7 linked regions of the Macaca mulatta genome follow. The protein of the gene in region 4 binds, or shares a complex with, the protein of the main gene of each other region. Links are inferred from orthologs where the notes say so. Each region holds a gene or a part of one and is shown on either strand. Other genes may lie near its edges.

Evidence for each region.
Region 1: SMARCB1 (region 4) and DPF3 share a complex: the UniProt entries of both Homo sapiens proteins name them as parts of the BAF complex. The link is inferred for Macaca mulatta from reciprocal best matches to the Homo sapiens genes SMARCB1 and DPF3.
Region 2: SMARCB1 (region 4) and SMARCD1 share a complex: the UniProt entries of both Homo sapiens proteins name them as parts of the BAF complex. The link is inferred for Macaca mulatta from reciprocal best matches to the Homo sapiens genes SMARCB1 and SMARCD1.
Region 3: SMARCB1 (region 4) and ARID1A share a complex: the UniProt entries of both Homo sapiens proteins name them as parts of the neuron-specific chromatin remodeling complex. The link is inferred for Macaca mulatta from reciprocal best matches to the Homo sapiens genes SMARCB1 and ARID1A.
Region 5: SMARCB1 (region 4) and ACTB share a complex: the UniProt entries of both Homo sapiens proteins name them as parts of the BAF complex. The link is inferred for Macaca mulatta from reciprocal best matches to the Homo sapiens genes SMARCB1 and ACTB.
Region 6: SMARCB1 (region 4) and PBRM1 share a complex: the UniProt entries of both Homo sapiens proteins name them as parts of the SWI/SNF-B (PBAF) chromatin remodeling complex. The link is inferred for Macaca mulatta from reciprocal best matches to the Homo sapiens genes SMARCB1 and PBRM1.
Region 7: SMARCB1 (region 4) and SMARCD3 share a complex: the UniProt entries of both Homo sapiens proteins name them as parts of the BAF complex. The link is inferred for Macaca mulatta from reciprocal best matches to the Homo sapiens genes SMARCB1 and SMARCD3.

Annotation. Positions count from the first base shown.
Region 1 is NC_133412.1:145,763,758-145,767,495, forward strand, and holds the end of DPF3 (zinc finger protein DPF3), read right to left. Parts: intron 1,292-3,738; coding exon 1,210-1,291; intron 676-1,209; coding exon 605-675; 3' UTR 131-604; downstream 1-130. UniProt on the Homo sapiens protein: Belongs to the neuron-specific chromatin remodeling complex (nBAF complex).
Region 2 is NC_133416.1:57,268,876-57,271,972, reverse strand, and holds part of SMARCD1 (SWI/SNF-related matrix-associated actin-dependent regulator of chromatin subfamily D member 1), read right to left. Parts: intron 1,666-3,097; coding exon 1,543-1,665; intron 1-1,542. UniProt on the Homo sapiens protein: Involved in transcriptional activation and repression of select genes by chromatin remodeling (alteration of DNA-nucleosome topology).
Region 3 is NC_133406.1:214,286,722-214,290,965, reverse strand, and holds the start of ARID1A (AT-rich interactive domain-containing protein 1A), read left to right. Parts: upstream 1-1,373; 5' UTR 1,374-1,425; coding exon 1,426-2,571; intron 2,572-4,244. UniProt on the Homo sapiens protein: Involved in transcriptional activation and repression of select genes by chromatin remodeling (alteration of DNA-nucleosome topology).
Region 4 is NC_133415.1:27,997,779-28,001,516, forward strand, and holds part of SMARCB1 (SWI/SNF-related matrix-associated actin-dependent regulator of chromatin subfamily B member 1), read left to right. Parts: intron 1-2,495; coding exon 2,496-2,686; exon of another isoform or gene 2,687-2,733; intron 2,734-3,738.
Region 5 is NC_133408.1:43,744,642-43,749,050, forward strand, and holds the start of ACTB (actin, cytoplasmic 1), read right to left. Parts: upstream 2,902-4,409; 5' UTR 2,884-2,901; intron 2,026-2,883; 5' UTR 2,020-2,025; coding exon 1,897-2,019; intron 1,763-1,896; coding exon 1,523-1,762; intron 1,079-1,522; coding exon 640-1,078; intron 546-639; coding exon 364-545; intron 248-363; coding exon 104-247; 3' UTR 1-103. UniProt on the Homo sapiens protein: Actin is a highly conserved protein that polymerizes to produce filaments that form cross-linked networks in the cytoplasm of cells.
Region 6 is NC_133407.1:116,168,780-116,172,517, forward strand, and holds part of PBRM1 (protein polybromo-1), read right to left. Parts: intron 1,600-3,738; coding exon 957-1,599; intron 1-956. UniProt on the Homo sapiens protein: Involved in transcriptional activation and repression of select genes by chromatin remodeling (alteration of DNA-nucleosome topology). Required for the stability of the SWI/SNF chromatin remodeling complex SWI/SNF-B (PBAF).
Region 7 is NC_133408.1:190,671,662-190,675,399, forward strand, and holds the end of SMARCD3 (SWI/SNF-related matrix-associated actin-dependent regulator of chromatin subfamily D member 3), read right to left. Parts: intron 3,633-3,738; coding exon 3,537-3,632; intron 3,379-3,536; coding exon 3,277-3,378; intron 3,054-3,276; coding exon 2,892-3,053; intron 1,932-2,891; coding exon 1,834-1,931; intron 1,719-1,833; coding exon of another isoform or gene 1,656-1,718; coding exon 1,520-1,655; intron 1,157-1,519; coding exon 1,034-1,156; intron 908-1,033; coding exon 806-907; intron 565-805; coding exon 511-564; 3' UTR 406-510; downstream 1-405. UniProt on the Homo sapiens protein: Involved in transcriptional activation and repression of select genes by chromatin remodeling (alteration of DNA-nucleosome topology).

The sequences.
Region 1 (3,738 bases), on a different chromosome or scaffold from region 4:
GGCTGGCTGTGGATGCCACTGCTGAGGTTCTAGAAGGCAACTCTTTGTCTCCACAGACACCAAGGAACAAGAAGGGGTTGCAAGACCCCAAGTCTAGAAGTTTCCAGTGAGGCTTGCCATAAACAACAACTTCTCCACAGCCCTTTATTCCTCGGGTGAGAATTTCAGGATGAAGAGCCTAAGCTGGAGGGGGCGGGGGCTGTGCGAAGATTTCTTGGAACACAATAGATAAAAAACACCACACTACACACAATGATGGGTGAGTGGTCAGGAAATGGCTTCCCTTAAAATGGGAACCAATGAGAGGGCCTCGGTGCTAGGGCAAAAGTGAAAGGGGTTCCACAGGGCTAGGGCCGGCAGTGTTCTTCCGAAGTGCAACTTCCTTCCGGTAGAAACAAGGAGGTGCTGGCTGAAGTTCCGCACATATCGGGGGCGGTCAGGAGATGCCTCGCCCTCTTGGTTCCATGTGTCCGTGCCCCTCTGGGACTATTTCTTTTCCTTACAGTTGGTCTGTCTGGATATGTAGGAAGAGGGCGCGTTCTGGTTTGAGCTGGGCTCTGCTTTAGCCTCTCCAGCAGCAAGTCACATTCTGTGACCTAGGGCCCTAGGCCTGGCAGCCGAAGGCTGAGGCTTTCTCTTTGAGCAGTTCCCAGCATAAGTGGCAGCTCCAACTTCCTGCAAGAAATGAGATGGCTTTAGTAGCAGCCCCTCTGCTAACTCTGGAGCCCCACCCCAGTGCCCCTAACTTCTTGTAAACCCTGTTTCCTTTGAACTTCGGCAATGCAGAAACCAAGTCCCAGGCCTGAAAACGTGCCGGAGTCTGTGGCTCAGCAGAAAGCAGGTGCTCAGAGGAGATGGGCTCAACTCTTATCAAGACCCTCACTCCCTGGTCATGCCTCCAAACTAGTGTCGCCGGGCCCTGCGCTAGTTCCCCTGGAAGCTCACACCTCCCCAGCATCTCCACTGCATGTCTGGGAAAAACCTCCTCGGCCCTCAAGTTGAAATTTAAGCTGCTTGGACTGTGCCTCAGTTTCCTCATCTGTAAAATGGCAGTCGTCGTACCTACATTGTGGGGTTGTGACGATTAAATGAGACAAGACATGGACATGTAAAGCCCTTAGCACAGGCCTGTACTATGGTGAGAGCTCAGTAAGTGCTAGTAGTAGTAGTATCTGCTGCTGTTGTTACTGTTGACCTCATCATCATTACCTTCTGGGGGCTCAGCCACCGGGGGATTTAAACAGTACATGTGATAGCCACGGTCACAGTCATCGCAGAAGAGTAGCTGGTCCTGGTGGAACACAGAGCAAGCACAGAGGAGGAGAGATTCCGTTATTTGGGGCCAATGTGTGGCCCCTACTTACCCATCAGCCTTATTTCCACATCGGCCTCACTGGATCCCCTTTCCAGGTCCCACATGGAGTCCTCACTGTTCCGTGAACATGCCTGTGCTTTTCCCACACCTAGAGTTTCCCCCTCTACCTCCCAGCCTATATAAATCCTACACCTATTTTAGGGTTCTGCTTAACTCATACCTCCTCCAAGAAGCCTTCTGTGACTACCACCTCACATCCAAATTTAAAAGGATTCCTTATTCTTCTGAACTTCCAGAGCCAATAGCTCTGCTTCCAAAGGGCAGAAAATGTCTCTATTGTCCATGACTTTATATATTTGAAGATCTTAATTGAATTCTTCTGGATTCCACTCCCTCCATCTGTGAAATGGGCAACAGCTGTACTGGGATGAACCTCAGAACCTCTTCAGGGTTTCATTAGAATGTAGAAAAATGCAAGTAGTGCCATCCCTTGGCTTCCAGAAGCTTCCTCACTGTCTGGAGGCTGGAGCCCAGGTGAGAACAGGTCCCCCCAGGATTGTGGTTAACTTCAAAGGACACAGGCCATATCTTTGCACCAATGGCTACTTCTGCCTAGAGGCTCTCCCAGACCCCTGACCCTTTCTCTGCATGTCCATTCCCTGCCTGCCCTTCAAGTACATCTTCTTCAAGCACTTCTTTTCCACAAAGACTTTGCTAATCTACCTCAACTGGAAGTTCTGTCTTCCCTCCTGCAGAGCCCGGTGGTACTTTCCCTTTCTGTGACATTTAAATGCATTTTCCTTTATGTTACATGCCTGGCATGTGGTAGACATCTAATCACGCTTGTTTTCTTGGTCGGGCACTGTGGCTCATGCCTGTAATCCCAGCACTTAGGGAGGCCAAGGTGGGTGGTTCACTTGAGGTCAGAAGTTCAAGACCAGCCTGGCCAACATGGTGAAACCCCATCTCTACTAAAAATACAAAAATCAGCTGGGCATGGTGGCGTGCATCTGTAATCCCAGCTACTCAGGAGGCTGAGGCAGGAGAATCTCTTGAACCCAGGAGGTAGAAGTTGCAGTGAGCCAAGACTGCACCACTGCACTCCAGCCTAGGCAACTGAGTGAGACTCTGTCTCAAAAAAAAAAAAAAAAAAAAACATCTACATGTTTGTTTTCTTGACTAATTAATTTGGAACATGCCTCTTTTTTCCACCCTTTATTCTCTTTATGGACTATAAGGCCCTTGGGGGAAAATCTTGTTTTCTTCATCACTGCATCCACTGTAGTGACTTCCTTGCATACAGGAGCTACTCAGAAACTGTTTGTGATCTGGCCCCACCCCCTAGTTTCAGCCCTGTTCTATTTGGTGATTTTTGAAAGTGTTTGGATGGCTTATAAGACTTTTTCAACATAAAGTTTTGTATCAAATCTCACCTTGGCTCCCACCAGTGCAGAAATCCTGGATAAAATTAGATATAGCAGTCGGAATCCCCAGGGAGCCAGCAAGGAGGGCTTTTTTTGTCATGCTAAAATCCATCAGTGGGGCAACAGGAGAGCTTTTGAAGAGTTATCAACTGGGCAGTGATATGATCAGATTGCAGTTTAGAAAGATCTTACTAGCTGCTATGTAAGCGTAGATACCCAGTGGGAGAGAGGTTCATTCAAGAGGCCAGGGGACCAGTTAGGAAGCTGCTATAGCTATCCAGATGCGTGATGATTGTGGCCTGAATTACGACTGTGGCATGGAGAAAGAAATGGGTCTTGCTCCCATTTAAGCATCATTGATTAGATGGGGAGAGTGATAGGGAAGAAGCCAAGGATGCCCTCTGGGTTGTGGCTTGGTCAGCAAGCCTGATGATACAGTCACCCATTGGGACATGGGAGGAAGAGCAGACTCATGGGAGGGAGAGGGCAACCTCAGCTATAGACATGTTCTACAGATAGGGATGACCTGGAGGCTGTTGAAGAGAGCAGGAGAGAAGTCTGGGTGTGAGATATGGATTTGGGAGTCATTGTAACTAGATGGCAAATGAAGGTCCTAGGAGAGGAAGCCTGGAATGTGTGAAAGCAAATGTCTTTGAACTTGTCTTCATGGAGGAGTGTCCATGAACCCCTTGAAATGATACATACAATTTTGTACATAGGTAGAAAGTACATGTTTCTATGGAAAGAGTAAATTCATAGCTTTCATTGAATTATCTGAAAGATCAAGGACCCAAAAGAGATTAAGATCAAGGACCCAAAAGAATTTACTGAGAAGAAGGTCAAGAATAGACACTTGGGGTACTCCAACTTTACAGGGTAGGCAGAGAAAAAAAGACTGAGAAGGAACAGTCAGAGAGGTAGGATGAAGACGAGCACACTGTAGTTTACGCCAAAAAAGTTACATCATTATTGTAGAACCAGAATAAGCTACAGGACAAT
Region 2 (3,097 bases), on a different chromosome or scaffold from region 4:
TAATATGACTGGTAGGTTCCCTTATAAAGAGGGGAAATTTGGACACGGAGACAGACACGTACAGAAGGAAGATGACGTTAAGTCACACAGAGACCACCACCTACAAGCCAAGGAACACCTGCGGTACCAGGAGCTGAGCGATGCACAGAACAGAGTCTCCCTCCCAGCTCACGGAAGGAAGCAGCACTGCCCACGCTAATTTTGGACTTCCAGCCTCCACAACTGTGAGACAAACCTGTTGTTTAAAACTGCCCAGTTTGTGGTAGTTTGTGGTAGTTTGCTACAGCAGCCTCAGCAAACTGATACAACACCCAGTCACCTCTGCAATCAACAAGTCATTGCCTTGTTCAGGGATCTTTCCTGGCATCCCTTTTCCCTTGCTCCTCTGCTCAGCCTAACTAGTCACAGTCAGCACAGGAGGGGTGAGAACTGATGGGTTCATACTCTGTGCCCATTCCTATCTACTAGACTGAGCTTACTGTGCTCCCCTTTCTGAGAAATGTCTTCAAATCCCAAATTTTCCATGAAGCCTTCCCCAGAGATTCTAGTTTCACTGATCTCCCTTCTCTGAATTACCTTATTGATCCTGGTCAGTCTGATAATGTCTGTTTTTTTTTTTTGAGATGGAGTCTTACTCTGTCAGCCATGCTGGAGTGCAGTGGCGCGATCTCGGCTCACTGCAGCCTCCGTCTCCCGGGTTCAAGCGATTCTCCTGCCTCAGCCTCCTGGGTAACTGGGATTACAGGCACCTGCCACCATGTCTGGCTGATTTTTGTATTTTAGTAGAGATGGGGTTTCACTGTGTTGGCCAGGCTAGTCTCAAACTCCTGACCTCAGGTGATCTGCCCTCCTCAGCCTCCCAAAGTACTGGGATTACAGGCGTAAGCCACCACGCCTGGCCTGATAATGTCTTACATGGTTTACTACTTTGTATCACACTAGCCTAGTTTCTCTTTTTTTTTTGAGACGGAGTCTCGCTCTGTCACCCAGGCTGGAGTGCAGTGGCACGATCTTGGCTCACTGCAACATCTGCTTCCTGGGTTCAAGTGATTCTCCTGCCTCAGCCTCCCAAGTAGCTGGGATTACAGGTGCACACCACCACGCCCGGCTAAATTTTTGTATTTTTAGTGGAGACAGGGTTTCACCATGTTGGCCAGGCTCGTCTCAAACTCCTGACTTCAAGCGTTCTGTCGGCTTCAGCCTCCCAAAGTGCTGGGATTACAGGTGTGAGCCACAGTGCCCGGCTATACTAGCCTAGTTTCTTCAGACAGAACGTAGGCTGCTTTGAAAGCAGAGATCAGGTCTTCCACTCTGTATCCCTGACAAGATGAAGCACAGTGACAGACAAAGTAAGTACTAAATCAACACGTGATGGGTCTGCCCCCATTTCCCTGCTTAATTGCAAAATGGACCCTGGAACATGCTAAAGAAAAATCTGGCCCCTTACTCCTTCCTCTGGGTCTTCTACCAGCTGCTACATAAATAAAGCAGGTGTGTGCCTCACTGACCTAAGTCCCTTCAGACCTCTCCTAGGTTCTTTACCTTGAGGTCCCTGCACTGGGACTGAAGCCAGTCATTGATGAAACCCTGAGGGTCTCTGGCAAAGCTCAGCATGAACTCCCGCTGAGTCTTCAGCTGGTTGATGGTTTCTATTGTCTCATGGATCTGAAAGGAAGAACGAAGCCCATACCATTTTCAAACTAGAAAAATGAGAAGTTAAATGGCAGGTGGTGCCTGACAACTCCACATGCCACTCCCAACCTAGTCACAGTGCTGCCCACAGCTGGTACCATCATATAAAGTTCCAACTGCTCCGACCCTTGGCATTCTTTCAGCAGGTAATTTGCCCTTGTTTGTGTCTCTCTGTACACCCCGTGTGAGGAAAGTTTTCCTTTTGGTCTCCTCAGTGCCCACTATGGGCAAAGCTACATGATGAATACTTACTCCACAGCCCAAATGGGTCCAAAAGTGTTCTCAGGAAGAAAAGGACTGGCATATGGGGCTGTCTCATAAGCTCTCATCTCTGGGTTTTGTTCTCAACTCTTTTCTCATTCTACATACTCCTCCCAGCAATTTCTTTGACTTGTATGTCTTCCACTACCACTGACAGTATAATGAGTCCCCAGTCTGCAGCCCAGAGTCTATTTTCTATACTCCAACCAAACCGACTGCTTAAACTTGACATCTCTAAAATTAAATTCACTACCCTTTCTCCAATACCTGCTCCTCCTCCTCCCCTCTTCCCAGTCATAGTAAATACTACTATCCACCCAAGCTAGAGACCTGGGAGGCATCATAACATTTCCTTCTCATTCACCCCTCACTCTAATCCCAACAGTGGCCAAATTCCTTCAATTGCACTTTGACACCTCTCAAATCTATCTACTTATCTCCACCCTGACTGTCGGGACTGTAAATGTAGGGCCTCAACATGTCTCACATGGATTACTGCACCAGCCTCCTAACTGGGCTTCCTGCCTCCAGCCCTGCCCTCTGACAAATTATTCTCCACCTTCCTGCAATGATGATTCTACATACAAATAGCATCAGTCCCTCCACTGGTAATGATCTCTCAACACAAGTCTTCAGGATGAAACATAAACCAATCTTCCCTGAATCAAAGGTTCTTCATGATTAGGCATCTGGCTCCCTATCTAGCTTTCCTTCCCAAAACATCCCATCCCTGGCACTCTATGCTGTATCTAGCACACTAAATGGCTGGTACTTCTTTAAGACACCAGGCTCTCTCTCTCCTCTCTGGATCTTTACACGCCCTATTCCCTCTTTCTGGAATGTCTTCTGCCTCCTATACCCCCAGCACCACTACCCTTTTTGCCCTTTCATTAACACCTACTTTGTCCTTCAAGATTTCATTAGGGCTGGGCGCGGTGGCTCACACCTGTGATACCAGCACTTTGGGAGGCCGAAGCGGGTGGATCACCTGAGGTCAGGAGTTCAAGACCAGTCTGACTAATATGGTGAAACCCCGTCTCTACTAAAAATACAAAAATTAGCTGGGCGTGGTGGCGGGCACCTGTAGTCCCAGCTACTCAGGAGGCTGAGACAGGAGAATCACTTGAACCCAGGAGACGGAGGT
Region 3 (4,244 bases), on a different chromosome or scaffold from region 4:
CATTGTTGAATGTGCTCACAACTTGACTTTTTTTTTTTTTTTTTTTTTTTTTAAGGCAAGTAGACCGAAGGCAGCTTTGGTGACTCCACTTCTTTTTAAAGTCACCCTCCTCTGCCCTCTGACTTTAAGTGACAGGCAGTTCCCTCCCCTCTTTCAATTCTGTAAAATGGGGATAATCCGGACCTCATGCCCCCAGAGCCTTGTGAGGACCGGCTAATGAGGGCAGGCGAGTGGGAAACGAATCATCTGAACAATGACCAGTCATTCCTTTGGGCTCGCAAAGAGGGTAAAAAGGCTGGGTCTTTAGCGGGGTCTGTAGAAGGCTTTGAAGACGAAAAGTGCTGTAGAGGTGCTAAACAGCAGCCAACGGACCGGGCCCGCTGCCAGGGGGTCAGGGCTGGGCCGAGGCGGCCGCGGTCTCGGGCTCTGGCCAATTTTGCAGTCGCGGGTAAAGTTCACGCTGCCCGCTCCCCTCGGTACGGCCGGGAGGGGACAGACCTGGATAGGGACGCCGGGAGGGAGGCGGCGCAGGCTCCAGAGATGCGCGGGCTCCGGGCCGGGTTTTCTCCGAAGCCTTCGGCGGCGGCGCTGCCTAGCGAAAGCGGCTAAGGGCCTGCCGCCGCCGCGGCTTGTTCTCTCCCCTCCTCCTTTGTGAGGGGTAGGGAGCGAGTCCGTTCCACGGCCTGCGCCCGCTCCGCTCTCCACTCCGGGTTTGCAAGGCGGCCGCGACGGCGCTGGGTAAAATGGCAGTGCTGAGCCTCGTGTCGGAGTGAGGGGGACTCGGAGGAGAGTGGGGCGCTCTAGCCGCTCAGTCCGGCCGACCGCTTTCTCGCCCGCCCGCTGCCGCGCCGCAGCCTCGACCCAAGCCGCGGCTGGCGAGGGAAGGCAGGGCGCCCGGCCCGGCCCGCGCTCTGACTCTGGCTCCCGGCGCCCGGGCTGCTGCCGCGCGCCCTCCAGCCCGCCCGTCCCGGGTCCCCCTCCCCCCGCTCCCTCCCTCCCTCCCCGCCCCCTCCCCCTCGCCTCCCTCCCTCCCTCCCTCCTCCTTTCTCCGGCAGCAGAAAGCGGAGAGTCACAGCGGGGCCAGGCCCTGGGGAGCGGAGCCTCCACCGCCCCCCTCATTCCCAGGCAAGGGCTTGGGGGGAATGAGCCGGGAGAGCCGGGTCCCGAGCCTACAGAGCCGGGAGCAGCTGAGCCGCCGGCGCCTCGGCCGCCGCCGCCTCCTCCTCCTCCGCCGCCGCCAGCCCGGAGCCTGAGCCGGCGGGGCGGGGGGGAGAGGAGCGAGCGCAGCGCAGCAGCGGAGCCCCGCGAGGCCCGCCCGGGCGGGTGGGGAGGGCAGCCCGGGGGACTCGGCCCCGGGGCGGGGTGGGAGGGGGGGAGAAGACGAAGACAGGGCCGGGTCTCTCCGCGGACGAGACAGCGGGGATCATGGCCGCGCAGGTCGCCCCCGCCGCCGCCAGCAGCCTGGGCAACCCGCCGCCGCCGCCGCCCTCGGAGCTGAAGAAAGCCGAGCAGCAGCAGCGGGAGGAGGCGGGGGGCGAGGCGGCGGCGGCGGCAGCGGCCGAGCGCGGGGAAATGAAGGCAGCCGCCGGGCAGGAAAGCGAGGGCCCTGCCGTGGGGCCGCCGCAGCCGCTGGGAAAGGAGCTGCAAGACGGGGCCGAGAGCAATGGGGGTGGCGGCGGCGGCGGAGCTGGCGGCGGCGGCGGGCCCGGCGCGGAGCCGGACCTGAAGAACTCGAACGGGAACGCGGGCCCTAGGCCCGCCCTGAACAATAACCTCACGGAGCCGCCCGGCGGCGGCGGTGGCGGCAGCAGCGATGGGGTGGGGGCGCCTCCTCACTCTGCCGCGGCCGCCTTGCCGCCCCCAGCCTACGGCTTCGGGCAACCCTACGGCCGGAGCCCGTCTGCCGTCGCCGCCGCCGCGGCCGCCGTCTTCCACCAACAACATGGCGGACAACAAAGCCCTGGCCTGGCAGCGCTGCAGAGCGGCGGCGGCGGGGGCCTGGAGCCCTACGCGGGGCCCCAGCAGAACTCTCACGACCACGGCTTCCCCAACCACCAGTACAACTCCTACTACCCCAACCGCAGCGCCTACCCCCCGCCCGCCCCGGCCTACGCGCTGAGCTCCCCGAGAGGTGGCACTCCGGGCTCCGGCGCGGCGGCGGCTCCCGGCTCCAAGCCGCCTCTCTCCTCCAGCGCCTCCGCCTCTTCGTCGTCTTCGTCCTTCGCTCAGCAGCGCTTCGGGGCCATGGGGGGAGGCGGCCCCTCCGCGGCCGGCGGGGGAACTCCCCAGCCCACCGCCACCCCCACCCTCAACCAACTGCTCACGTCGCCCAGCTCGGCCCGGGGCTACCAGGGCTACCCCGGGGGCGACTACGGCGGCGGGCCCCAGGACGGGGGCGCCGGCAAGGGCCCGGCGGACATGGCCTCGCAGTGCTGGGGGGCTGCGGCGGCGGCAGCGGCGGCGGCGGCGGCGGCGGCCGCCTCGGGAGGGGCCCAACAAAGGAGCCACCACGCGCCCATGAGCCCCGGGAGCAGCGGCGGCGGGGGGCAGCCGCTCGCCCGGACCCCTCAGGTACACAGCTGAGTGGGGAGGGGGCTGGGGCGAGCGTGGTCCTGGGGGTGGGTGGCGGCTGCGGTCAGCGGGCCACAGCCTTGGGCTCCCCTCAGTCTCGGGCCCCCACTGCTGGGGAGCTGCCATTGTCTGGCTCTTCTCTCTTAAAATGGCTGCCTGTCTGCCTTCCTCTCCTTTCCTCCTCCAGCCTTTGTGTCGGGCTTTCCCAGAGGTGTCTGCTTCTCTTGTTCCTCTCCCTTGGTCCCTTCGAACTCCAGGGGTCTTGATGGGGGTGCGGGGCAGAGTGTGTGGGGAAGGGCCTGGCCGGGAGTGAGGGGGTGCTGGGGGCTCAGGTTAGGAGTGTAGGCAGTGGTAGGAACCCAGGAGTTGAATGAACGTTTCTTTGCTCACCTGCCGCTCCTCTCCGTCCCCCGGCCTTCCTCTGGGCCGCCCCCCATCTGTGCTTTCAAAGAGGGCCCCTAGAGCTCGGAGGGACCTCGAGGGAGGGCAGGGGACTGCTTGGGAGCTGCTAGAGGCCGGCTGCGGTTCACCTAGGGCAGCCCTTGCCATCTCCTGTCTTAGGCTCCGCCGGCCCAGTGGCCTGGGCTTCTCTCTGGAAGTGCTGGTAAACAGCTGAGTGATTGGAGTAGTAAGTGCAGATTGCTTTGGTTTGGGATTTGAATTATGGAGGTAAAATCCTTCTGTCAAAGCCAGGAGACAGTTGGTCTTAGGTTGACATCCTATCTGTGATCTGATTGGCTCCCCATCTCCTGCTCTTGGCCATTTATAATTGCCTCTGATGTAATGGTACAACAATCCTGATGAGCTCATAAACTTTTACACTCTGCTTTTCTGCCAGTGATAACCCAAACCATCGCTGCCACTATCTGCCTTTTATTCCAGAGCTGAAATTGGCTGTGACCTTGAGGAGGGAGGTTTAAGTAGCAATACTGTATCAGCAGGAGCAAAGCCTCAGACAGCCTGCCCTTGTTACATTGTGCCCGAAACAAAAGAGGGGGCAATGGCATTTTGCTTGTACCTTGGATTTATTTTGCTTGTTATGTTTTATGCAGCCTGAAATGAATTCTGTGTTGTCAGAACAGTAGCTGAGTTTTTTCTCTACAATGGGTTTGCTGTTTGTTTTGGTTTTGTGACTTTCCTGATGGTATAAATGACTTCTTTGATGGCTCTGAAGATGCATTTGTCTTGAGTAATTTTGACACTGGTTGCTTTGCAGAATTGAAATGATTTTACTGGGGTTTTTATTGAGTGGCAAATGTGGGATCTTTGTGGGTGGGGGAGAAAACAATTTTCGTTTTTTAGTTTTTTTTTTTTAAGAACTGGGAGCTTTCTGAGGAATTTTATATTAGGTTCAAGCATTCTGTGTTATGGAAGGCTGGCCTCATTCTTTGTTTACATGTTGAATCTTGTTAACACTTTCTTTTGTTAATTGAACTTTGGAATAGCAGCTTAATTTAAACGGAAGTTGGTGTCTTTCATGATCTTGAGGGACTTTCTCCTAAAGGCTTGGTTTGGTGAAATTGTTTTTTCCTGGAATAACAAAAAGTCTAGTTTTCTGTTTTGTCATCAGTCATTTTAGAGCTTTGAAATAGAGACTGGCCAATTTATTCCTTTGCATTTTAATGTACCACTTTTTTTCTTGTCTTCCAAGACATGAAGATATGACCTAGAAT
Region 4 (3,738 bases):
TGAGCTCCAGTGATCTTCCCACCTCAGCCTCCCGAGTAACTGAGACGACAGACATGCACCACCTCACCTTTCTCAGAGCAGCCTTTGGAATGTTTGTCTCTCTTGTGCCTCTCCTTGGTAGACACACAGTCTAGACTTTGGAATAAATGAATGTGTTAGTGACTGAATGGCAGGGGACAGGCAGCTCCATCCATGAGCCCAGGGCAGGGAGGGCTTGCTGGGTGGGAGCCATGTGCCCACGGTCCTAGGGAGTCCTGTTGGGTGGTTCCCTGGGCTGTCTGCTGCTGCATGCTCTTTTCGGACCCAGCACCCACATGGTTTGCTTGGCATTAGATTCCAGTTGGGAAGGGCTAGTACCTCCTGTTCCGGTCATCATCAGGCATAGGCATATGTGGAGATAGCAAAGGACATGGGGGCCTGACTGCAGCCCCCATTGCCTGGCTGCATGCCATGTACAGGATGGTGCAGCTCTGCCCCTTGGCTTCCTCCCTCTGCGTGCGGATTCCTTCATTCCCAGAACAAATACACCCTGCCTATGCTAGGATTCCTGGAGGCAAATGATTCAGATTGTTTCAGACAGTCCTAAGTGCTGTGAAGAAAATAGGAGAGGTGCCAGCATGGTGGCCTGCATGTATAGTCCCAGCTACTCAGGAGACTGTTGGGGGAGGATCTTTTGAGGCCAGCCTGGGCCAACACAGAGAGGCAGCAGGGAAGCCTGGGGGAGCAGAGGGCTCAACCGTAGGGTCTCTTCTCTGCTCAAAACACTTGATATATTGCCTGGGCCTTGTAGAGACCTTGGCTCTACAAAACAAATTAGCCAGACATGGTAGTGCCTGTCCGTAGTCCCAGCTTCTCAGGAGGCTGAGGCAGGAGGGTCCCTTGAGCCCAGCAGTTCAAAGCTGTAGTGAGTCATGATCATGTTAGTGCACTCCAACCTGAGTGACAGAGTGACATCCTGTCTCCCAAGGGGGAGAAAATGGAGAGAAGGGTGTGGAAAGGGGCTGATGGGAAGGGGAGCTCTCAGGAGCTGGCACTTTAGCTTAGACCAGGATGCTAAGAAGAGGCTGGCCCTGCCAGGTGAGGGGAAGACCATGCTAGCAAGTGGGTGGTGGTGTGCAGGGCTCTGAGGCACAGGGCTTTATGAACATGATTGGGGGTTGGGGTGCCCTCATCTCTAAAAGGGGGCAGAAGTCCCCGGAAGGGCTGGGCTCCAAGGCAGTGGTGAGTTCTTCCTGCAACTGCCCACCCTGATCCTTGACTTAAAACCTAAGGACAGGCGGGGCGCGGTGGCTCACGCCTGTAATCCCAGCACTTTGGGAGGCCGAGACGGGCAGATCACGAGGTCAGAAGATCGAGACCATCCTGGCTAACACGGTGAAACCCCGTCTCTACTAAAAATACAAAAAAATTAGCTGGGCGTGTTGGCAGGCACCTGTATTCCCAGCTACTCGGGAGGCTGAGGCAGGAGAATGGCATGAACCCGGGAGGCAGAGCTTGCAGTGAGCCGAGATCGCGCCACTGCACTCCAGCCTGGGCGACGGAGCAAGACTCCGCCAAAAAAAAAAAAATCTAAGGTGAATGGGCAGGTGCCCTGTGGCCTGCTTGCCCCATGGAGCACTGGACAGCAATGAGGGATGACCCCAGCCCCACACTCTAGTGGGAGGAGTCTTGCAAGCATGACGCAGAGTGAATGAAACTGGACCCCGAAGGGTCCATCTTATTCAGAAGAGCCATACCTACTCAAGGAGTGAGAAGTCAAAATGGTGCTTCCCCAGGCGGGGCGGGCATAGGTGGGAGCTCCTGGGGTACAGTCTGTGTTTTCTCCGGCTGGGTGCTGGCTTCCCAGGTGTCCACTGGTTAAAACCCCCTGACAGCACACCCAGGGCCTGGGCCCTCTGGCTGTGAGTCATGCGCTGCAGGGAGTCCTCTGGGGAGTGTGGGAGGAGCTGGCCCAGCACTGTGCTCCCCACAGGCTTCCCTGTCGCCTCGCTGTGTTAGCCTAGAGTGCGGTGCATCTGTGAATGTGCTAGGCAGGGTTTTCTGAGAGGGGCAAGCTCTGTAAAGGCATAGACATTGGCTTAAGACAGGACTTAGGGATGCCTTAGCTGAGGCCTGCCTGGCCGATGTAGTCACATAAGACCGATGGCAGCAGGAGCGAAGGGCAGAAAGGAAGGTCTCCACCAGCACAGGGTACAGCGGGGATGGGATGAAGGTAAGATGGGACTCAGGTGCCCCCGGGGTCACTTCAGGGCCTCTTGAGGGTGACTGTGCTGGGCCCTGAGCCAGAGCCCCTCATGGCAGACAGGAGGGTTGTGGGGTCAGCCTTGTTTTGGGGATGGGAAACTGGAAGGACAAGGGCCACCTGCAGTTCTCAGCCGGTGGACCCTGGTGGGCAGGGTGCGCCGCAGGCCTGGCAGGCCCCCGCTCCTCGCGGCCTCCCTGGGCTGGGGGCAGTCCCAAAGGCTCTAACTCATGTCCTTTGGTTGTCGTCACAGCTGAACATCCATGTGGGAAACATTTCCCTGGTGGACCAGTTTGAGTGGGACATGTCAGAGAAGGAGAACTCGCCAGAGAAGTTTGCCCTGAAGCTGTGCTCAGAGCTGGGGTTGGGCGGGGAGTTTGTCACCACCATCGCATACAGCATCCGGGGACAGCTGAGCTGGCATCAGAAGACCTACGCCTTCAGGTAGGATCGCGCACGAGTCTCTCCCTCCCTCATCTCCCTGCAAAACTGTTTTGAGAAAAAGACTTCTCTGTGTGAGTGGTGATACCTTTGAGGCTTTCTCAAGCTTCGCAGCACCATCTGGCTGGGGTCTGTGTGTTTGCTGTGTCCCCCTCCTGCCCTGTGTGTCTCACCGGGACTCCGCTGTACCAGGTAGGGTTAGAAGCACTTAACGCAATAGCTGGCAAAGACTTGAGTTCCGTCAGGGCGAACCTCAAGTCCTTACCTCCACGGAGCCCTGGGCCTGCCCCCCGCCATCCACCATTCAGTCATCCTGCCCCACACCTTCTCTCTCTGCTCTTGCCCAGACTGTTATTTTGGTCAGGGTGGCCCCTGCCCAGGGTTCTTCATCTGTTGAACTTGAATTCTGTCTGAAACACAAAGGCCCGCCCAGCTTTCAAGAGTCAGGGGTCCCTGGCAGTTCCTTCTTACTGTAGTAACTCTGCCTTTGGTCAGTCAGAGAGCATTTGATGAGTACCATGCTGGGCTGGAACCCATCCTGGCTGCCCTGGAAGATAGAGACAGGTCACCTTGATCCCTGCCTGCAGCATTTGGGCTGGCTGAGAAGGTGGTGGAGGTGTGAACAGAATATTCCAGTCCAGTGTCCTCTGTGCTAGGGATGGGGATGGACCTGGGAGAGGCCCTCCTGTTTCTGGCAGGAGGTAGGACTTAGAGTTAAAAGCGAGGTCAGGGCCCAGCACAGTGGCTTACACCTGCAGTCCCAGCACTTCGGGGAGCTGAGGTGGATCGCCAGAACCCAGTAGTTCAAGACCAGCCTGGGAAAAACATGGGGAGACCCCCTCTCTACAAAAAATACCAGAATGAGCCAGGCATGTTGGTGCACACCTGTAGTTTCAGCTACTCAGGAAGCTGAGGTGGGAGGATCACCTGAGCTCAGGAGGTCGAGGCTGCAGTGAGCCAAGATCATGCCACTGCACTCCAGCTTGGGTGACAGAGTGAGACCCCATCTCCAAAAAAAAAAAATAGCAAGGTCGAGCTCTCCCGGCTCAGCGGGA
Region 5 (4,409 bases), on a different chromosome or scaffold from region 4:
ACAAAACAAAAAAAACAAATAAAGCCATGCCAATCTCATCTTGTTTTCTGCGCAAGTTAGGTTTTGTCAAGAAAGGGTGTAACGCAACTAAGTCACAGTCCGCCTAGAAGCATTTGCGGTGGACGATGGAAGGGCCAGACTCGTCATACTCCTGCTTGCTGATCCACATCTGCTGGAAGGTGGACAGCGAGGCCAGGATGGAGCCGCCGATCCACACAGAGTACTTGCGCTCAGGAGGAGCAATGATCTGAGGAGGGAAGGAAACAAACAGGCAGTGAGAACCCCGGATGTGACAGCTCCCCACACACCACAGGGCCCCATGGCCCACCTGCCCAGGTCAGCTCAGGGTGGAAGGACACCCACCTTGATCTTCATCGTGCTGGGCGCCAGGGCAGTAATCTCCTTCTGCATCCTGTCAGCAATGCCAGGGTACATGGTGGTGCCACCAGACAGCACTGTGTTGGCGTACAGGTCTTTACGGATGTCCACGTCACACTTCATGATGGAGTTGAAGGTAGTTTCGTGGATGCCACAGGACTCCATGCCTGAGGAAGAAATGAGGGCGGACTTAGCTTCCACAGCACAGCCCGAAGGGTGACCCTCAGGTCAGGCAGGGCCGGGAGGCGGGTCTCCACTCACCCAGGAAGGAAGGTTGGAAGAGAGCCTCAGGGCAGCGGAACCGCTCGTTGCCAATGGTGATGACCTGGCCATCGGGCAGCTCGTAGCTCTTCTCCAGGGAGGAGCTGGAAGCCGCCGTGGCCATCTCCTGCTCGAAGTCTAGGGCGACATAGCACAGCTTCTCCTTAATGTCACGCACGATTTCCCGCTCGGCCGTGGTGGTGAAGCTGTAGCCGCGCTCAGTGAGGATCTTCATGAGGTAGTCAGTCAGGTCCCGGCCAGCCAGGTCCAGACGCAGGATGGCATGGGGGAGGGCATACCCCTCGTAGATGGGCACAGTGTGGGTGACCCCGTCACCGGAGTCCATCACGATGCCAGTGGTACGGCCAGAGGCGTACAGGGACAGCACAGCCTGGATGGCCACGTACATGGCTGGGGTGTTGAAGGTCTCAAACATGATCTGTAAGGAAGAAATGCACCATGTCACACTCAGGAAGCTACTGGGACAGCCAGGCCAGATGGGGGACATGCAGGAAGTGCAAAGAACACTGCTAAGTGTGCTGGGGTCTTGGGATGGGGATTCTGTTCAGACCTACTGTGCACCTACTGAATACACACTCCAAGGCCGCTTTACACCAGCCTCATGGGCTTGTCACACGAGCCAATGTTAGTACCTATACCCACAGCACTGTCTGTTTTAGACACCTAGTCAGAGAGGCAAACACCAGAAAAAGAGCTCATCTGGGAAAAAGCAAATAGAACCTGCAGAGTTCCAAAGGAGACTCAGGTCAGAGAAGAGAGTCCTACGAAGAACGGCAGAAGAGAGAACCAGTGAGAAAGGGCGCAGCTCCGGGAGACCAGGAAAGAGGGCGGTGGCCACCACAAGAGGTAGCGGGCCACTTACCTGGGTCATCTTCTCGCGGTTGGCCTTGGGGTTCAGGGGGGCCTCGGTCAGCAGCACGGGGTGCTCCTCAGGAGCCACACGCAGCTCATTGTAGAAGGTGTGGTGCCAGATCTTCTCCATGTCGTCCCAGTTGGTGACGATGCCGTGCTCGATGGGGTACTTCAGGGTGAGAATGCCTCTCTTGCTCTGGGCCTCGTCGCCCACATACGAATCCTTCTGACCCATGCCCACCATCACGCCCTAGGAAAGAAAAAACAAGGCGCCCTAAGCACGGGCGCGGCCCCCACCCCAGAAACCGGGAGACCCCCGTGCAGAGAAAGCGCCCTCGCCTCCCGCCCGCTCCCGGGCCCGCCCCACCCACCCAGCTCCCCTACCTGGTGCCTGGGGCGCCCCACGATGGAGGGGAAGACGGCCCGGGGGGCATCGTCGCCCGCGAAGCCGGCCTTGCACATGCCGGAGCCGTTGTCGACAACGAGCGCGGCGATATCATCATCCATGGCGAGCTGCGGGAAAGCCGGGCGCTCTGTGAGCCGAGGTGGCCCCCGCCCTGCCCACTTCCGGCGCGCCGAGGCCTTAGGCCGCCAGGGGGCGCAGGCGCGCGCCCAGATTGGGGACAAAGGAAGCCGGGCCGGCCGCGTTATTACCATAAAAGGCAAACACTGGTCGGAGGCGTCCCCACCGCGCGCGGCAGGAAGCCAGGCCCCCACCCCCTCCCAACCGGGAGCCGGCCCCGCCTCCGCTCCGTTCAAATAGCGCCGGGTCGGCGCGCGCGCGCGCGGCGGCCACACCCTCAGGCGGCCGGCGGCGCGGGCAGGAAGTGCGCGCAAGCGCCCTGGAGCCTCCGCGACCCCACCCCTTCCGGCGGGGCCAGCCCTTGCCCCAGCCCAGGCCGCGGCACCCGGGCCCCAGAACGCACGCGCAATTAGCGCCTGGAGTCCCAGCGCGCACGCGCAACTAGCGCCGATTCCCAGCGCGCACGCAGAGTTAGCGCCCCAAGCCCCAGGACGCACGCGCAATGGCGCCCCAGCCCCCCACCGAGCCTGGCGGGGGGGCTCCGCCGCGCCCACCCTGCAGTTCCCACTGGCAAGAAGCCGGCTCGGACAAAGACCCCGCCGGCTGCCCCCATCCCGAGAGCAGCACCCCCAGAGCGCGCCTCCCGAGCAGGGCCCCGCGCCGCCAAACTGAAGCGGGGTGTCCCCACATCTCTGGAGGCCCAGGGGCTTCTCCCGCGTCCCCCACTGCAGTCCAGTCCCCACATGCGACCCCCGCTGCGGCGCAGGCGGCTCTACACAGGCGAAGGGGCCGCGGCCTTAGGCAGCCGAGCCGGGAGCCGCCTACCAGGGTCGGCTGGCCGGGCTTACCTGGCGGCGGGTGTGAACAGGCGGCGGAGCGGCAAAGGCGAGGCTCTGTGCTCGCGGGGCGGACGCGGTCTCGGCGGTGGAGGCGCGTCGCGCCGCCGGGTTTTATAGGGCGCCGCTGCGGCCGCTCGAGCCATAAAAGGCAACTTTCGGAACGGCGCGCGCTGATTGGCCCCGCGCCGCTCACTCACCGGCCTCGCCGCACAGTGCAGCATTTTTTTACCCCCTCTCCCCTCCTTTTGCGAAAAAAAAAAAAAGAGCGAGAGCGAGATTGAGGAAGAGGAGGAGGGAGAGTTTTGGCGTTGGCCGCCTTGGGGTGCTGGGCCCGGGGGTTGGGGGCGCGCGCGGTGGCCCCCGCACCCCACGCTGGGCAGTGCCCGGTTCGGCCCCGCATGGCCAGGCCTGTCCCCGGCCTGCCCGTCTCTCGGGCCCCCCACCCACCGCGGGACATTCTAGGTGTGGACATCTCTTGGGCACTGAGCGCCCAGGTCGGGTGGGCCAGGGTCTGCACGGGTGCCAGGGTCCTGGGTGCTGTGCGCTCCTGCAGAAGGAGCCCTTGAAGGGCATGGAGTGGCCAGGCAGTCACTCCCCCTTGCCGACTTCAGAGCAACTGCCCTGAAAGCAGGTCTCGGGACCTCTGGCTATGGGGCTCAGCTAGCTAAATGGGCTGGGTGGGTCACTAGGGAGAGACTTGGGCTTGAGAGGTAGAGTGTGGTGTTGGGGGAGTCAGGGGCCTCGCGGCCACTTAGAAGTCGCAGGACCACACTGCCCAGGACAGGGCAGGCGCCAGCGGTCCAGTGGCTTGAGGTGGCCTGTGATGAAAGCTGCAAACCCACCCAGCCACGGCCCTGGGAAGGTGGGCTCTACGGGGCAGGGAAAGTTTCCCCAGGAGCTGCTGCTTCTGAGGGTAACGCGGTCACGCCCAGCCAAGACCAGGCCTGGGGCGTTAGTGGGTGACCCAGGCAGCTCCAGGCACTGCGGGGTGTGGGGGCTGGGTCTACACAGCCTGGGTCTGCGCCCACCGTTCATTGCATGTCTGCTATGCGCAGCCACAGCTGAACTGCCCTCCCAGACCATCTGGAGGCCGCGGGGGGACTCTGGGGACCAAGACTCCATGTGCCAGAGAGGATTGGGGGCGGGGCGGGGTAGGAGCTCAAAGCCAGCCTGGGAAGACCCTCTCCTTGTCACCCTTTCTTGCCTCGGGTCTGTCCACTCAGTAGCACACAAGACCCGGGTGGCTAGGGTCGTTCTGCTCTGGGAATCAGAGACTGTATGTACCCAGCTGGTGGACATGCAGTGATCAGTGGCGTGGGACCACAGAGGGGCATTCAGCTCAACCTAGAGGAACATGCCCTTCTCCTCCTCCCCCTCCTTGGAGGTGGTGACAAGAAGCTGGATTTTTACACAAAAATAGGAAGGGTGGTGAGGTGGGGGCACGTCAGGCCTTCAGGGGGCTTTGCAGCACGTAGTAGGTGTTCGTTGAGTGTGTGTTGCAACAGGCAAAGATGAGTCCATATAAGGACGTGGAA
Region 6 (3,738 bases), on a different chromosome or scaffold from region 4:
AAGAGCACATATAAAATACACTATAATTGCTGAATTTAATAGTCAAGTTTGATATTGATATGCAGCAAATATATATCACAGATAAAAATTAGAAGGAAATTTAAGTTTAATGTAAATCTAAATTTGCTTCTTTTAAAACATTTAATGTCTTCAGCAAGCTCTCTAGAAACCTGAGATTAAAAAAAAAAAAAAGAAGCCCTCTGAGGTACTTAAAATGGTGATCAAATTTATATCAGTCTACCTCAGGTCAATACCTTGGAGCTATTTTATTTAAAGCAGTCATGCATTGAAGCCAAACCTTAAAAGAAAAATGCAGTTACTATTTCCAATTAGAAACATTTATGTTTTTATAAAACACATTCTGTGAAAGGCTGTATTTTTTTTTTTTTTTTTTTTTTGAGACGGAGTCTCGCTCTGTCGCCCAGGCTGGAGTGCAGTGGCCGGATCTCAGCTCACTGCAAGCTCCGCCTCCCGGGTTCACGCCATTCTCCTGCCTCAGCCTCCCGAGTAGCTGGGACTACAGGCACCCGCCACCTCGCCCGGCTAGTTTTTTGTAGTTTTTTTAGTAGAGACGGGGTTTCACCGTGTTAGCCAGGATGGTCTCGATCTCCCGACCTCGTGATCCGCCCGTCTCGGCCTCCCAAAGTGCTGGGATTACAGGCTTGAGCCACCGCGCCCGGCCGAAAGGCTGTATTTTAAGTTTATGCTTTTCAAGAGACCTTCAATTTTGTCTTCCTCCTCACTGGCCTTAATCTAGATGACTTAGTGGTGTGCCTTCTCTCCCCCATAGAATATACTCGATCTTAAGAAGTTCTGGCTAATTAGAATTCAGAATAGCATGCTACCAACTACAATCACGTACGTAAGTGGAAATAGTACATCAAAGCAATATTCTTTCATCTGTTTTGTATTAAATAGCACACATCCTCAAAATGAAAATGGCTTTGAAAACATACCGATTCATCCTTCTTGCCCGTTCCAATACTTCAAACATATGCTCTTGAAATAAATCAAGCCGCCGGTAGCGATTATTTTCAACATTCTTCCTAATGATGTCAAATGTAAGGGGTGGTTTGTTAGGAAAGTTGGGATCCACAGCAGGAATTTCCGCTAAAGAATCACTGTAGCATCTTCCCTCATCATCCTGATGACTCATGACTGACACAAAAAGATTGTGGATAAGCTCTTGAATCAGCAAAGTCACATTTGGGACATGAGAGTCCTCATCTCCCTCCAGGTCTCTGCGCGTTTCAAGCAGGACTTTGTGTAGTACAAGAGCATCTTTGTAGATCAAAGACTCAGGCTCATTGTATGTACATGCATTATTAAACATCATGACAAAGTCCTCAACCATAGAGTCAATATCTTGGTACTTGTTGGCCATCATGTGACTTCGAATTTTTTCCATATCCATGGGCTTTTTAATAGTCAGATAGTAGTCAGGCAACTCAGATCTAGAGGGAAGCCTCAGAAATATGGCACTGAGGCGGCGACCTCTCTTATCAGTATAGTTCTTTACAGCTTCATAGACCTCATTTAGTTTCTGCTGCATTGGAGTCATGTATTTTGATTTTTTAGGAGAAATGCCACTCTTCCTACCTAAAGAAAGAGACTTAAAGTTAAATGAATAAAATAAATGAACCTAAATTTGTATACAGATGGTAGCATAACCACAAGCTACGATTCCAAATAATTTGTAAAACCCAGCAATTAGCATGTCTATAGTGAAATATAACCTGCAGACAAAAAAGAACTAAAAAAAAAATTTTAACTGTTTTTAGTAATCATATTTTTGATGGGAGACTAAGTACTGTAAGGTTGAGAAAGCTGTGAATAAGGAATAAAGCAAATGAGCAGCTATGTGACATTCTATCACCTCTGGTATCACTGAGAACTGAGATTTTCATCATGGGATAAAAAGAGATAACGGATGTTAAAACACAGGACATTAATAATTACCTTGAGGCCTTTAATCTCAATTGAAAGTATCACTATGAACTTACGATGTATTTTATCTTTAAATATAAGCATACGAACAAACACATACAAATTTCCTAGCTCTGTCCACTGAAAATCGTACAAACAATGACTACATCAGTAGCAGTATACCCCACACTAGAGTTTTAAAATATTAATTCCAAATACAAATGTTGATGAACCCTCACCTTTTAGCAGAAACATGAAAAAGGTAGGGCTCCTTGGCAAATGACTGATTCCCAGTCTGGTATATCTTCAAACACTAGACAGTAAAGAATCTATCAATGACTTCTTACCATGACTTCATGTCAACAGAATATAGGAACCATCTGGGCGTGGTGGCTCATGCCTGCAACCCCAACGCTTTGGGAGGCCAAGGTGGGTGGATCACCTGAGGTCAGGAGTTCAAGATCAGCCTGGCCAATATGGCGAAACCCCATCTCTATTAAAAATACAAAAAATTAGCCGGGTGTGGTGGTGGTGCCTGTAATCCAAGTTACTTGGGAGGCGAGGCAGGAGAATTGCTTGAACCCAGGAGGCAGAGGTTGCAGTGAGCTGAAATCAAGCCATTGCACTCCAGCCTGGGCGACAGAGCGAGATTCTGTCTCAAAAAAAACAAAACAAAAAGAATATAGGAATCAGCCTGAACCAGCCTGAGTATCAATAACGGCAATAACTTCAATCACAACTCAGCCACATGTTTAAGTCTGGTAGTTCTTAATAATATGTATAAACAAACAACAAAATGGGTAAATATTGAAGGATGTTAGTAAACCAATGCATATTTTGAAAACTGGTAAAGGGGAAAACAAAATAAAACAAAAATCAAGCCTTTATCCTTTCAAAAAGCAAGACACACACATGAAAAACACTGTACCACTGGCTAATCAAATATCAGATAAGGCAAAGTTTCTCTAGAGCTAGTAAGGAATAAAATTAAAAACGATCACAATTTTACATCCCTTTCATGAATTAATAATTAATGAAGTATGCAACACCACCAGTTAACAGAAAGACATAGATTTCACATGTACCTGATGGAAGATGATATATTACCTATGAAGTCGGTTTTTCTGCCAAAGGGAGAGGATAGGGGATCAGACCTCAATCTGATCAAACCTCTGGCTCCAACTACCAATTTACAGGAAGTGCAAAGGACAGAGGAACACATGAAAGTACAACAGAGTGGGCCAGGAGCGGTGGCTCATGCCTGTAATACCAGCACTGTGGAAGGCCAAGGTGGGCAGATCACTTGAGTCCAGGAGTTCAAGACCAGCCTGGCAACATAGCAAAACCCTGTCTCTACTAAAAATACAAAAAAAATGAGCTGGAAGTGGTGGCGTGTACCTGTAGTCCCAGCTACCTGAGAGGCTAAAGTGGGAGGATTGCTTCAGTCGGGAGGTGGAGGTGGCAATGAGCCAAGAATGTGCCACTACACTCCAGCTTGGGTGACAGAGTGAGACCCTGTCGCCAAAAAACAAAACGAAACAAAACACAACACACACAAAAACCCCCACAACATATGGATGCAATCAGCAAAATCCAGACTATGGGAAACTATAGCACAAATCTAATTTCTTCAACAGATAAATAGTAAGGGGTGGAAAAAGAGAGAGATGGAGGGGAGTTTACAGATTAAAAGAAGTATTGGGCTGGGCACGGTGGCTCACACCTGTAATTCCAGCACTTTGGGAGGCCGAGGTGGGCGGATCACGAGGTCAGGAGTTCGAGACCAGCCTGGCCAATATGGTGAAACAGGAC
Region 7 (3,738 bases), on a different chromosome or scaffold from region 4:
CTCAGCAACCTGGAGGGGCTGGGGGGCCGTGCCCAGCTGGCCATGGCTCTCTTTGAGCAGGAGCAGGCCAACAGCACTTAGCCTGCCTCGGGGCCCTAACCTCCTTACCTTTCCTTTGTCTGCCTCAGCCCCAGGAAGGGCAAGGCAAGATGGTGGACAGATAGAGAATTGTCACTGTATTTTTAAAATATGAAAATGTTATTAAACGTGTCTTCTGCCAAACTGTTTTTTAGGTCTAGGGAAAATTGAGTGAGGAGAATCCAAGGGAAGGGTATGGGGAGTTTGTCCAAAAGGACCCACTGTCTCCTCACCCTCTTCCCTCCCCCTTCCCTCCCCCTTCATCCCCCACCCTCCCCAGTTTCCAATGACCACGCGGCTGCTGTCAGATGAATGACTTTTAATCTAGCCCCGCACCCCAAGGTGGCAGAGGAGTGATGCTGGAGCCCAGGGCAAAGCACTGGGGCCCGGGGCACGGCCGGAAGTTCCCTCGTGCTGCTTATTTCTGGGCTCCTAGGTGTTGCGCACAACCAGCGACTGCTCCAGCTCCTGCCTGCGCTGCTGGATCTTTAGAGGAAGTGAGAACAGGAGCAGGTGTCAGTGTTCCTGGTGAGTGATCAGGACAACCCCCCCCTACTGACACCGCCTGCCATGGAAGAGCATCTGGGAGCAGGGAGGGCCATTGCATGGTGAGGCGGTATGGTGAAGCTTTACTGTAGGGAGCTGTGAGGGCTGCCCACAAGCTGAACAGGGAGGTTTCTCTTGGAGTTGAGGAGGGGGAAGCCTTAGGGCAAGGGTCCCTCCATACCTTGCAGTAGAAGTAGCGACTGACAGCCTCCTGGGACCAGGGCTGGTGGTAGAACTCAGCCCGGCGCTCCTCTTCGGGGTTGCCGGCTACATCTGTCATCACCTGGGAGGGAGCGTGGGGTGAGCCCTGAGCCCCGAATCCCCTCACCTGCCCCTGGAGTACAACGTTTACTGTCTTTCCCGATGTGCTTGTCTTCCACTCCAGTACTCCCTGAGTCTCCCTCTTCACCTTGAGGTCCCGGCTCTGGGAGCGGAGCAGGTCTTGGACATAGCCTTTGGGGTCTCTGGAGAAGCTTAGCATGAAGTCCCTCTGGATCTTGAGCTGGTTTATGGACTCAATCGTCTCATGGATCTGCAGGTAGAAAGATAGATGCTTTCCACCTGGCTGTGGTGATGTGGGAGAGGAGGGAAAAGGAAGTGGGAGGGAAGGGGAGACCTGTGAAGGACAACCCCTCAGAGCCCCTGATTCCTCTGAAGTCCCAGGGGCGGAGGGGATGGGCAGAACTAAACTTGGAATGAGGTTCAACTCCAAGCAGCATGGAAGGGCCATTTGTGCCCCATTGGCCCACAGTCTGGTCTCTCTTTTTTTTTTTTTTTTTTTTAATTTTTTAATTTAACCCAGACTGCTCATCTGCAGCCACACCCTGGTCTCAGAAAAGTCTCCTCTATCATCTCTGGGTTAATATCCCACTCCGGCTCTGGGCTTGGGCCCCACCTTACTGTCCAGAGCACTGATCTCCTGCTGGTTGGCCGTGGACAGGAGGAAGCTGCTCATCTGTCCCTTTAATGGCTCCTCTACTTCCACGTCAATGTCATAGCACGCCGTCTTCTTCTGGTCTGAAGGGTCCACGCTGCCAGGGAAGTCCAGCCCTTGGTGTCCACGATGCCCCCATACAGGCCCCAGGGCGCAGGGGCTGGGGCAGATCCAACAGGGAGGGAGAAGAGATGGGAGTGGGAGGAGAGGGAGGGGCAGGGAAGGCAGGAACGAGATCATTCCCTGGTCTGAGAAGCAAGCTGGGGCCACCTCACCTGATGACATGGTTGATGACAATTGGGTCAGGGGGCAATAGCAGGGCTGTGAGGCGCTGGGGAATCTCAGAAAACTTCAGCCGGGGACAATCAAAAATCTGAAGCAGGACAATTGGGGAGAGAGAGATCACTCTTCTTGAAGAGATCATCACGCAGTTGTAGATCCTTTTGTTCTAGAAAGGCTGCAAGAAGCTGAGAGGAAGTCTGATTCCTTAGTGCGCATGGGGATGGGATTGGGGTGGGCTGGTCTGGCAGTGGAGCCACCCATACGGCTGACAAGGTAGGGGGTGGGTCATTGTGGGGCAGGGGTTGAGAGTGCAGGCCCTGAGTCAGCCTGTGTATGTATCACTCCTGCCTCTGCCGCTTACTATGCAGCCTGGAGCAAGTTAACACCTCAGGGCTCATCTCTAGAGTGGGGATGGAAAGAATACCCATCTCCTAGGGCTGCCGTGGGAAGGCAGTGAACTAATACACATAAGGTGCTTGGAGCAGTGCCTGGCACATGGTAAGTGCCCAATAAATATCAACTGCTGTTTTAACTCCTCAGGTTTATCTGCTGTATTTATTTTTAAATGCATTAATAAGAATATTCTCTGTTTTGGTGGAATTTTGCTGAATCCCTTTGCAGCAATTTGATTTTCCTAACTGCCCAGGAGAGTAGATAGGACAGGTATTTTCACTCCACTTCAAAGATAAGGAAACAAGGTTCAGAATCGCTGAGTCACTTACCCAGAGTCCAGACTCAGGACTAGAACCTGGGGATCCTAACTCCAAGTGCCAAGAATATTACATTCCAGAAAGCGGTTGGCTTTGTAGGGTTTCCAGGTCTTCCTAACTTGGGGGGGGCTAACATGGATTGACTGCAGCACAGAGCTAATCCACAGTAGGGCCTGAACTAGAATCCTGGTCGGTCTCTTGGCTCCAAGACCATGACTGTGTATTGCTTCTGCTACTCAGGAATCTAGAAGGGAGGGGTGGTAGTTACCTTGGTAGAGGTACTTCCCCTGCTGGAGAACTCTGCCTGCTCCCCAGATCCCAGGGTTCAGGAGAGAGGTTACCTGCTGGAAATACTTGTCCCCATTGATGTATTCCTTGTCATGGGAGTCCTGCAGCCTGTTGGTCTTCACATACTGCCACAGGGCCTGGACGATGGCTGAGCGGCTCTGTGTGTGCAACCCCAGCAGCCGGGCTAGGCGGGGATCCAGTTTGAACTGGGGAGGCTGAGAAAAGGGGACCGTGAAAGTTAGAACAAAGGGAGAGAAAGGAAGGAGCCCAGGGCCAGGCCATTCAGGACTATGGGGATGTGTTGATTGAGGAAACATGCCCCTGGGGAAGGATAGGGTTGGGAGGGGAAGGAGGTCTCTCGAGATGCACCACTTTGGGACCTAGGCCTGCCCTGAGAGCCTTGTGTGGCGTGTATGGGGCAGCGTGGCAGGTGCAGACCTGGTAGTCCAGCATGAGGAGCAGCGTGCAGCGCACACTCAGATCCCCAGGCCGTTTCACCTGGAAGCCGTCCGTCTCCTGGGTCGTGGGTGTCCGATGCCACTGTCCAGGAGAGAAGAGCTGTGTCTCCCAAAGGCCCATCTGGAGTGGTGGGGCCCAGGACTCTAGGGCGGTCCCTGACCCAAATCTGTGCTCGTTCTTCAGGGATTCTGGCCTGTGGGAAGGTGGCAATTCAAGGGCGGAGGGGCTCTTGGTCTTACCTCAACAAGGTGGTTGTCAGGACCATAAAGATCTTTGTCCAGCTCGATGACCAAACTCTTGAAGAAAGAAGAGAACTTCCGCTTCTGTTTGCTGGGCTGTGGGAGAGGAACAGGAACCATGGGGGCAGAACAGGGACAGGGTGGGAGAAGCAGAAGGAGGCCAAGTTGGCAGCAGACAGGGCAGTGGGCTTAGATGAAATCC